Ovis aries: one gene and its partner. The protein of the gene in region 2 binds, or shares a complex with, the protein of the main gene of each other region. Links are inferred from orthologs where the notes say so. Each region holds a gene or a part of one and is shown on either strand. Other genes may lie near its edges. The genes, in order: TYROBP and SYK.

Evidence for each region.
Region 1: the proteins of SYK (region 2) and TYROBP are in contact, whole or in part, in a crystal structure (PDB 7Q5W), measured with the Homo sapiens proteins. The link is inferred for Ovis aries from reciprocal best matches to the Homo sapiens genes SYK and TYROBP. Residues at the interface, in NP_001167638.1 of Homo sapiens: Arg22, Arg42, Asn46, His62, His63, Tyr64, Thr65, Ile76, Ala77, Gly78, Gly79, His92, Asp97, Gly98, Leu99, Arg175, Arg195, Arg197, Lys212, Leu214, His215, Tyr216, Arg217, Ile228, Pro229, Glu230, Gly231, Lys232, His243, Lys247; in NP_003323.1 of Homo sapiens: Pro90, Tyr91, Gln92, Glu93, Leu94, Gln95, Arg98, Ser99, Asp100, Val101, Tyr102, Ser103, Asp104, Leu105, Asn106.

Annotation. Positions count from the first base shown.
Region 1 is NC_056067.1:45,899,233-45,903,725, forward strand, and holds TYROBP (TYRO protein tyrosine kinase-binding protein), read right to left. Parts: upstream 2,888-4,493; 5' UTR 2,832-2,887; coding exon 2,777-2,831; intron 2,399-2,776; coding exon 2,372-2,398; intron 2,210-2,371; coding exon 2,075-2,209; intron 1,918-2,074; coding exon 1,874-1,917; intron 251-1,873; coding exon 185-250; 3' UTR 19-184; downstream 1-18. UniProt on the Homo sapiens protein: Adapter protein which non-covalently associates with activating receptors found on the surface of a variety of immune cells to mediate signaling and cell activation following ligand binding by the receptors.
Region 2 is NC_056055.1:25,897,686-25,901,499, reverse strand, and holds part of SYK (tyrosine-protein kinase SYK), read right to left. Parts: intron 1,923-3,814; coding exon 1,713-1,922; intron 874-1,712; coding exon 684-873; intron 1-683. UniProt on the Homo sapiens protein: Non-receptor tyrosine kinase which mediates signal transduction downstream of a variety of transmembrane receptors including classical immunoreceptors like the B-cell receptor (BCR).

The DNA of each region.
Region 1 (4,493 bases), on a different chromosome or scaffold from region 2:
GGAATAACTCAGCATTGCTTGTGTGCTCGAATGTTTATTTGGGGGCAATAGTGGGGAGAGGTCTGACATCTTATGGAGGTCACTCTGTGCATCTGTGTCTTGGTGAGATTAGGAGTAGAGTGCTGAGCAGGCATCAGGAATGACTGGATCCAGACATCAGGTTGTTGACTGCCCTGCTTTGGACTCATTTGTAATATGGCCTCTGTGTATTGAGGTCGCTGTAGACATCTGTCCTCTGGCCCTGGAGCTCCTAAGGGATGGATAGGGTATGGACCATCAGTGAAAGGACCACCAGGGTATGGACCAAATAAACTGAAAATCTAGCTTTCTTCCAGGGGCTGGCAAGGCCTCCGGAAGCTTCTTCAACTTTGTAGCCATGAAAGAGATCTGGGATTTTATTCAAAGGCATTCAGTGTTCGCCTCTTCCCTCTGCCTCACCATTACGCCCCAGGCAAGGGGCCTTTGGGTGTGCTCTTCTCTCTGCCTGGAACACCAGTCCCCCAGATATTCCCATGGGAGGCTCCTTCTCCCCTTTCTAGTCTCAGCTCATGGCATTTTCTCAGAGAGGCATTTCTCTTTTCCTTTGACCACATGGCATGTGGAACAGAGATCAAACCTGGGCCCCCCTGCATTGGAAGCACAGAGTCTTAACCACTGGACCACCAGGGAATTCCCTGAGAGGCATTTCTTGGTTCCCTCATCTCTAGTTTCTCCTCCTCTCAGCCCAGTCCTTGTCACATCAATATGCTTTATTTTCTTCACACTGCCTCCCCAAGTGATCTTGTTAATTTGCTTCAAGACTGTCTCTCCAGCTAGGATGTAAGCTCGCCAGCATCTAGCCTAAATAACCCCTCAACAAATTTCACCAAAGGAATGAATGAATTGGGGCTTTGCCCTAAAATGTTACTGCCTCCCAGGAACTGGAAATTCCCTTGAGTCTTCTGGTCCTCATGGAGCCAAACTTGAGATTCTTATATTTTACAGAGAGACTTTCAAGCCACGAGTGGGGCAAACCAGAGCTGGTTGCAGACAAATAAAACAGACTTCACAGAGCAGGGTTCACAGTGGGGGTGGGGTAAGGGTCTGTGGCCCCAAGATGCCCGCCTCAGATATCCCTAAAATCACATACAAATGCCTGGTCTGGGAGTTCATCTTTCTGGAGAGGGTCTGTTTGTCTTCCATTAGATTCTCAGAGGAACTCATGATCCCGTAAAGGGTTAAGAATAACACTGACGGGGTGGAAGATGGAAAGATGACATTTGCATCATGGTTCTTAGTTGCGGCCTGTGGGATCTAGTTCCCTAACCAGGGACTGAACCTGAGCTCCCTGCATTGGGAGCGTGGAGTCTTGGCCATTGGACCACCAGGAAAGTCCCTGTATCATCGTTCTTAAGGAGGGTTTCAGGGATACTTGCACTGCCCGTAGATTATATGAACAGTTTTACGTTTTTCGTATGGATTTTTTCTGAGGAGTCTCTGGCTTTTGTCAGTTTCTCAAAAGGAGACAAGATCTGCTCCCTGCCCCCCACTATTAATTCTAAAACTCCTCATTTTAAAGTTAGTAAATTGGGTTGAATTATATCCTCTGCTCTTCGGAGGACTTCTCTGAGAAATCAGCATGTCCTGGGCTGGGCTTTTCCTGCCTTCTGGCTGAGGCAAATCATCGCTGAATTTCCCCTCCGTACATGGTAAGCTGAGGTAAGGTCATGACTGATCACTGAAAGCAGTTTTGGACGCTTCATGTTCAGTGTTTGAGGAGCTCCTGAGAAAGTGGCTTCAGGGTCTGGGTTCTGCCGGGACTGGGAGAGGGCCATTTCGGACAGACAACCACAGGGCCGGAGTGAGAGATGAGGCAAGAACTTGGTTTCCTTACCTGATAAGGCGACTCTGTCTCCGTGATGTGCTGTTTCCGGGTCACTGCTCAGGGGTGGGGTGAGAATTGGGACTATTTTCTTGTTCCAAAGTCAGCCCCTCCATCACCTCCCTTTGGGAGGCTGTGACTTGGGAGCTTACCCTTCCCTTTCCAGGCAAGTCCTCAGAGGGTCCCAGGCCATCCCCAGCCAGCCCCACTCACCCTCCGCAGCCCCTCGCCCCCGAGGGACCAGCCGACCCAGGGAGTACACAGCCAGAGCGATGAGGAGGGTCAGCATCAGGTCCCCCAGCACGATCCCTGCCAGCACGCCTGGGCTCAACGAGGAGCAGTTGCATTCTGGGAATGGATGTGTTATAGGAGTCAGGGGAGGCCACTGGGAGTAGGAATTGGGAGGAGGTGTCAGTCATCAGCGGGGGAGGTGTGGAGAGGCCGGGGAAGGGTCCAGAGGTGGGGCAATCTCTGGGAGGTAGGGTGGGGGATTGCAAGGTCTAGACCTACCCCTCTGGGCCTGGACGAGGCTGAGACCTGAGGAGAGGAAAAGAAGGTAAACTGAGACACGGGGCTGTGACTGCGGGGTAGGCATAGAAGCTGGGGAGGGTGTCTCCTGATGCCCGGCGTGCATGAGAGGGAGCTGGGGGCCGTCATCAAGGCCTCTGGACTGTGTTCCTTCTACATCGACTTGTCCTGTCGCAACACTCTTAGAGTCCGCTCCCTCTGCTTCTCCCCAGGCTAAATCTTGGGGCGGGTAGGAGCGCAGGCTCTGGGAGAGACTCATAGGGTTTGGGGAGCTGGGGATCTGCTGCAGTCCCAACACTCCCCCGCCCCACTTCAATTCTCTCTTTCCACCCAGCTCCCTGCCCTGCCCCGTGCTGAGCCCAGAAGCTGCAGAAGCCCCCAACTCACCACCCACAGTCAGAAGGAGAGATAGGAGCCTATCGGAGGGTCTAAGGCCCCCCATGATGCAGGCAACGCTGCTGGACACCACAGTCCAAGGCGGGTGGGATGTGGCGTAGTGTCCAACCAAGTAAAGGAGGAAGTCTGAGGTGGGTGGTGGCAGGAGGGAGGAGGGGACGGTGGGGGAGGAGGAACAGAGACAGACAGACATCACCAAAGAGAGTCAGGCCCAAACACCCCAGGCTGCAGCCTCCAGTGGTTAGAATGAAGGGTGATGGGCGCATGTGTCCATTCAACCTCCACCCCCAGACAGAGGTCCACCATCATTGTCACAGGAGGGTCTCTGGCTGACTGTGATTGGAGCTAATCTCTGCCTCTTCCTGGCTGGACAACCTTGAGCAAAGTCACTCAACCTCTCTGGGCCTCAGTTTCCTCACCTGTAAAACAAGGAGTAAAATAATACCTACTTTGAAGGGTGTTGTGAGGGTTGAATAAATTTGTATCTCTAGAACAGGGTCTGACACTTGTCAGCTTTTTATAAGCACCAGTTATATTTATTTGACAATCAGAACCTTGTAATGTTCATAGGATATTAAAAGAGACCACCAGGATACGGGTTTTAGTAACGCACAGGCACCCTGTCCAAGTGTTAATGCATTTAAACCCAAGCACACCATTCTGAGGCAGCTTCCCTGGTAGCTCAGTTGGTAAAGAATCCACCTGTAATTCAGGAGACCCTGGTTTGATTCCTGGCTTGGGAAGATCACCTGGAGAAGGGATAGGCTACCCACTCCAGTATTCTTGAGTTTCCCTGGTGGCTTAGATGGTAAAGAATTCACCTGGAATGCGGGAGACCTGGGTTGGGAAGATCCCCTGGAGGAGGGATAGGCTACCCACTCCAGTATTCTTGCCTGGAGAATCCCCATGGACAGAGGTGCCTGGTGGGCTACAGTCCATGGGGTCGCGAAGAGTCAGACATGACTGAACAATGAAGCACAGCACACCCTCCTGAGGAGGTAGATGCTTTTATTCCATTTTAGAGAAGGATAAAGACACTCGTCCAAAGTGACACAGCAAATAAATGTGGACATAGAACCCAGGACCCAAGGACAGATATCTGACCCTTGAAGAAAAAGAGAAAAGAACCAAGATGGAGGCGAGGGAAGGAGAAAGTGGCGACCAGGCAGAGAAAGAGGGAGACGACTAGGCAGTCACACAGATGCACACAGCACAGACCCAGGCCTAGGGCTTTGGGGTGCGGCAGGTGGGGGCAATGGGTGACACTCGGCCAGGCTGGGCTGCCCCTGTCAAATGAGGAAGTGGCTGGAAGCCCGTACTGAGAGAGGCCACCCAGGAGATGACAAGGACTTTTAGCCGCAACAGGAGAGGAGCCACAGCTGGGGAAGGAGGAACCTGAGGTTAGGGGCTACAGGGGGATGGGCCAGCGGCAGGAAGCCCCGTCCAGGCGGCACACTCACAGTTCCCCGGGCCTGGGCTCAGGAAAGAAAAAGGGGAAACTGGATGCCAGTCATGAGACAGACCCTGAGTGACTTGTTGGAGTTGGGGGTGGGTATTTGGAGTCCGGAAGAGGGTAAACACTGCCACTGCCCAGGCCTGGCCGAGTCCTGTCACAGAAGAATCAACACGCCGCTACCACCCCCAGGTCTGGAGTGAGCAGGGCCTGCCTGCTCAGGCATCTCAAGTGGCTGCAGCCCAGTGAGCCGGG
Region 2 (3,814 bases):
GTATGTGGTCGCTTAGGTGTCTTCTCCAGCCACTTTGTGGTATGGCACTCAGGGGAAGTCCACGACTCTCACCCTGCCATTCACTAGTTAGATCATCAGGGTATGTCATCTATTTCTGAGACTGTTGGACATTCCCAGGGTCATGAAGAGCTGAGAATATGTTCTTGACACCCTTTTCTGCTATCTCGTCTCTGTTACATTTTCTAATGGGTCAGGGTAGACTCTACATACACTCTGTGACTGAGTTCATATGAGGATGGGGCTGTTTACTTTTTTCCCTTCTTTTACTTGCTATCAGTTCATTTGAGGGTTCATAAAGAAGCTTTGAAAAATCCTACTAGAGTCAACCTGTCCAATATGTATTTTCCAAAGTAATTTAACAAATGAATTCTATTCTTGTTTTTTTTTCCAGATGAATCATCATTAATACCTTGATTCCCTATTTTTCTAAGGAACATAGTTTGGAAGATACTATTCGGAGTAAATCTCAAGTTGTGACATATTAGAGTATTTCCATCTTTTTAACAATAGAATCAAAGCTTAAGAAGAACATTTCTTACACAGTCATTTTTCTATAGGGAAACTGCTTCTTGAAATCTTACCAAAATAAAATAAAGAACCATATATTTGCATTTCAGATTTTTACTACCAGCTGCTCTCAATGGTGGGTGAGTTGTTCGTACCTTGTAGTAGTTTTCATCAGCACGAAGTGCTTTGGAAAGTCCAAAATCACTGATCTTGGCATAATGTTGAGTAACCAGCAATACATTCCTTGCAGCCAGATCTCTGTGCACAAAATTGCACTCTTCCAAATATTTCATTCCCATAGACACCTGATGAACCAGCTCTATGATGTTTTTATCCTTGACATGCCTGAAAGCCACACATATGTCATTAATGATAGTGAACAGGAGTCCATTTCAGAGCAACCAACCATGCTTCTCACACAGAGAGAATATGAACCCACTTATTTCCTATTCTTCTAAAGCAAGAGTCACAAGTGGCAGTGACTGGTATTCAGCTGCTAGAATTACATGAAAAGCAGTATAACAGGGTGGTCAGACCTGGCTCATGGAGAATCAGGGTTCAGTTAGAACCCTCATTCCAATATTGAAAAGGTAAGAACACAACCTTGAGTCCCACTGAAGCACAAGCATAGGTACAAATGGGATAAAGTAATCAGTGGCTATTGTTATGATTTATTCCTCATGATTCTCTATCTCAACCATGACTGGAGATGAGCATAGCATGATTACTCCATTGATGGTTGCCATGAATTAACAGCAATGGATATTTTCAAAAATAATTACTTATGGGAATGCAGTAGTTAGCCAGATATGTAAAATATCACTGTTTTCCCATATAAAATGTTTATTTAATTGTTTCCTTTAAAAGAGCACATTCTTTCTGCCTGGTGAGAGGAGAATGCTTTCTAAGATAGTCTAGGGCTGACTTTATTACCAGGCCAGTATGACATGAGCAAAGGAGACCAAATTGTTGAATTAGAGTTTTTCTTTATACATTAAGGGGTAAAGAACACTTGATCCAAAGACTACAGCTTTCAAACCTCCCCACTCAAGGTCCCTGAGGGTGGGCCAACTCTTGGAAGGCACCGGAGGAGACAAGGGTTCTGGAAGAAATCAGGCTATGATGTGCACTGGGCAGGCAGGCCCTGCCCCTCACATATGAGCTACTGGGGCACCTAAGGATACCTGTTCTGTTGTAAATATTTGTTGAGTGGACCAAGTTCTGCCATCTCCATGACCAGCATCCAGGACTCAGCTTCACATATCCCTATCATGCGCACAATGTAAGGGTTGTCAAGCTGCTGCATGACATTCGCTTCTGCTAATAACTCATCCTTAAGAGCAGGGTCATTGGCCTCATTTTTCAGGATTTTCACAGCCACTGTTTTCACAACTCTGCAAAAGAAATCAAAACACATAAGAAACTTTCCAAAGTGGTTCACGTATGGATAATTATCTTCCATGACGCATAATTCCTGTGCTGGAAATGAAGTAATGGAAATACCTGCCACAGAGTGGAAATATGTCTGAAGAAGCCATGTTGTACATGGCTAATTCTTCAATCATGTTCTCTCATTTTATAGACAAGGAGTAATATGTAATTAGTTGAAAATAATCGGAGAGTGCCGAAGAATGCCCCAACCAACCAGAAAGCTGACACACTAGAATATTTAAATAACTTTCAAACAAACTTTAAAAACTGACATGCATGGATTCCAGTAACATCTTGAGATTTATCACATCATTATCTATAATGTATGTAATTACAGCATGCCTTTAATATATGTTACAATGAATTTCTAGATGCAGAATTAAAAAGCATGCACTGTTGAAGCTTATAATTTACAAAACACTTCTAAAAACTGAATTTTGTTCATTTTAAGCATGCTTCAAAAAGTTTGGAAAAAAACTAATTTTTTTCCATTTTTGAATAAAAGCATCATTTAAGTCATGTTTGAACTCTTGAAAATATCCTGACATGGTGGGGGCTTAAAGAAATAAATAGCACTTAAATATGTACAATTTGAAAAACTGCATCTTTTCATGATACAGTTCCCACAAATGCAGGAAGTATAACTCTTTTGTTGAACTTCAAAAGTAGAAAATAAAAACAGATGTATCAAATAAAATACGTTAAATAACATAATAACAGGTAAGTCTGACATACATTCAGAAAAGAACATATAGCTGCAGTGTAGAACTCAAGAGTATTTACACATTGCACACAAGATGTAGTTCCTACACAGATGGAAGTATAGAACGTATCCAGTACCCAAGAAGCCTCTGCATCCTCCTCCTGAGATCAAGGAAATATAATATCATGCCATCTCTAGATAGCTTATTGTTTCACCTTTCACATTTCGGTCTACCATCCATCTGGAATTAGTTTCATGTATGGTGTGAGGTAGGGGTCAAAAATAACAAGCACAAACTTCTTGATTCTTCCAATGTTTAAGGAAGAAAGACCATTCACAAAGTTTTCCAGAAACAAAAGGAGGAAGGGAACTTCCCAACTCATTTTATGATGTTACCATCAGCCTGATGCCAAAACCAGACAAAAAAATTACAGGAAAATAATTTACTGATATCTCCCATCAATGTAGATGCAAAAATCCAAAGGGAAATATTAGAAAATTTAATTCAGTGCTTTATGAGAAAGATATAATGAATATATAATTCATGAATAAGATAGGTTTATTCCAGGAATGCAAGGTGGGTTTAACATTTGAAAATCAATCAGTGTAATTCATCCATAAACACAACAAAGGAGAAAAAGACTATCAGCAGAGGAGAAAAACTAAACAAAAAATGTAACACCCACTTACAATTAAAAACAAATCTCTCAGAAAAGTAGAAATAAAAGGGAACTTCCATAATCTGATAAACAGCAGCTATGAACCTACTGGTGAAATATTGAAAGTTTTCCCCCTGAAATTAGGAATGAGGAATGTGACCGCTGACACTTTTATTTAACATTGAACCACAGTATCTAGTTAGTACAATAAGACAAGGAAGAAGTGTAAAAGTATAAGAATTGCACAGGATAAAATCAAACTGTTGTTATTTATAGATGATATATTTCTGGGTCAAACAATACACAAATAAACTACTGGAAATAATGAGTGAAAAATAATAGAAGAGTTTAAGAAAAGTTGTTGGACATCAGGCAAACAGACAAAATCATATTCTTGCATTCAAGCAATGCCAAGGAATAGCAAGAAAAAATTTTAAAATTATACCACATATAAAACCAAAAATATTAAATACCTATGAATGAATCCAGCAAA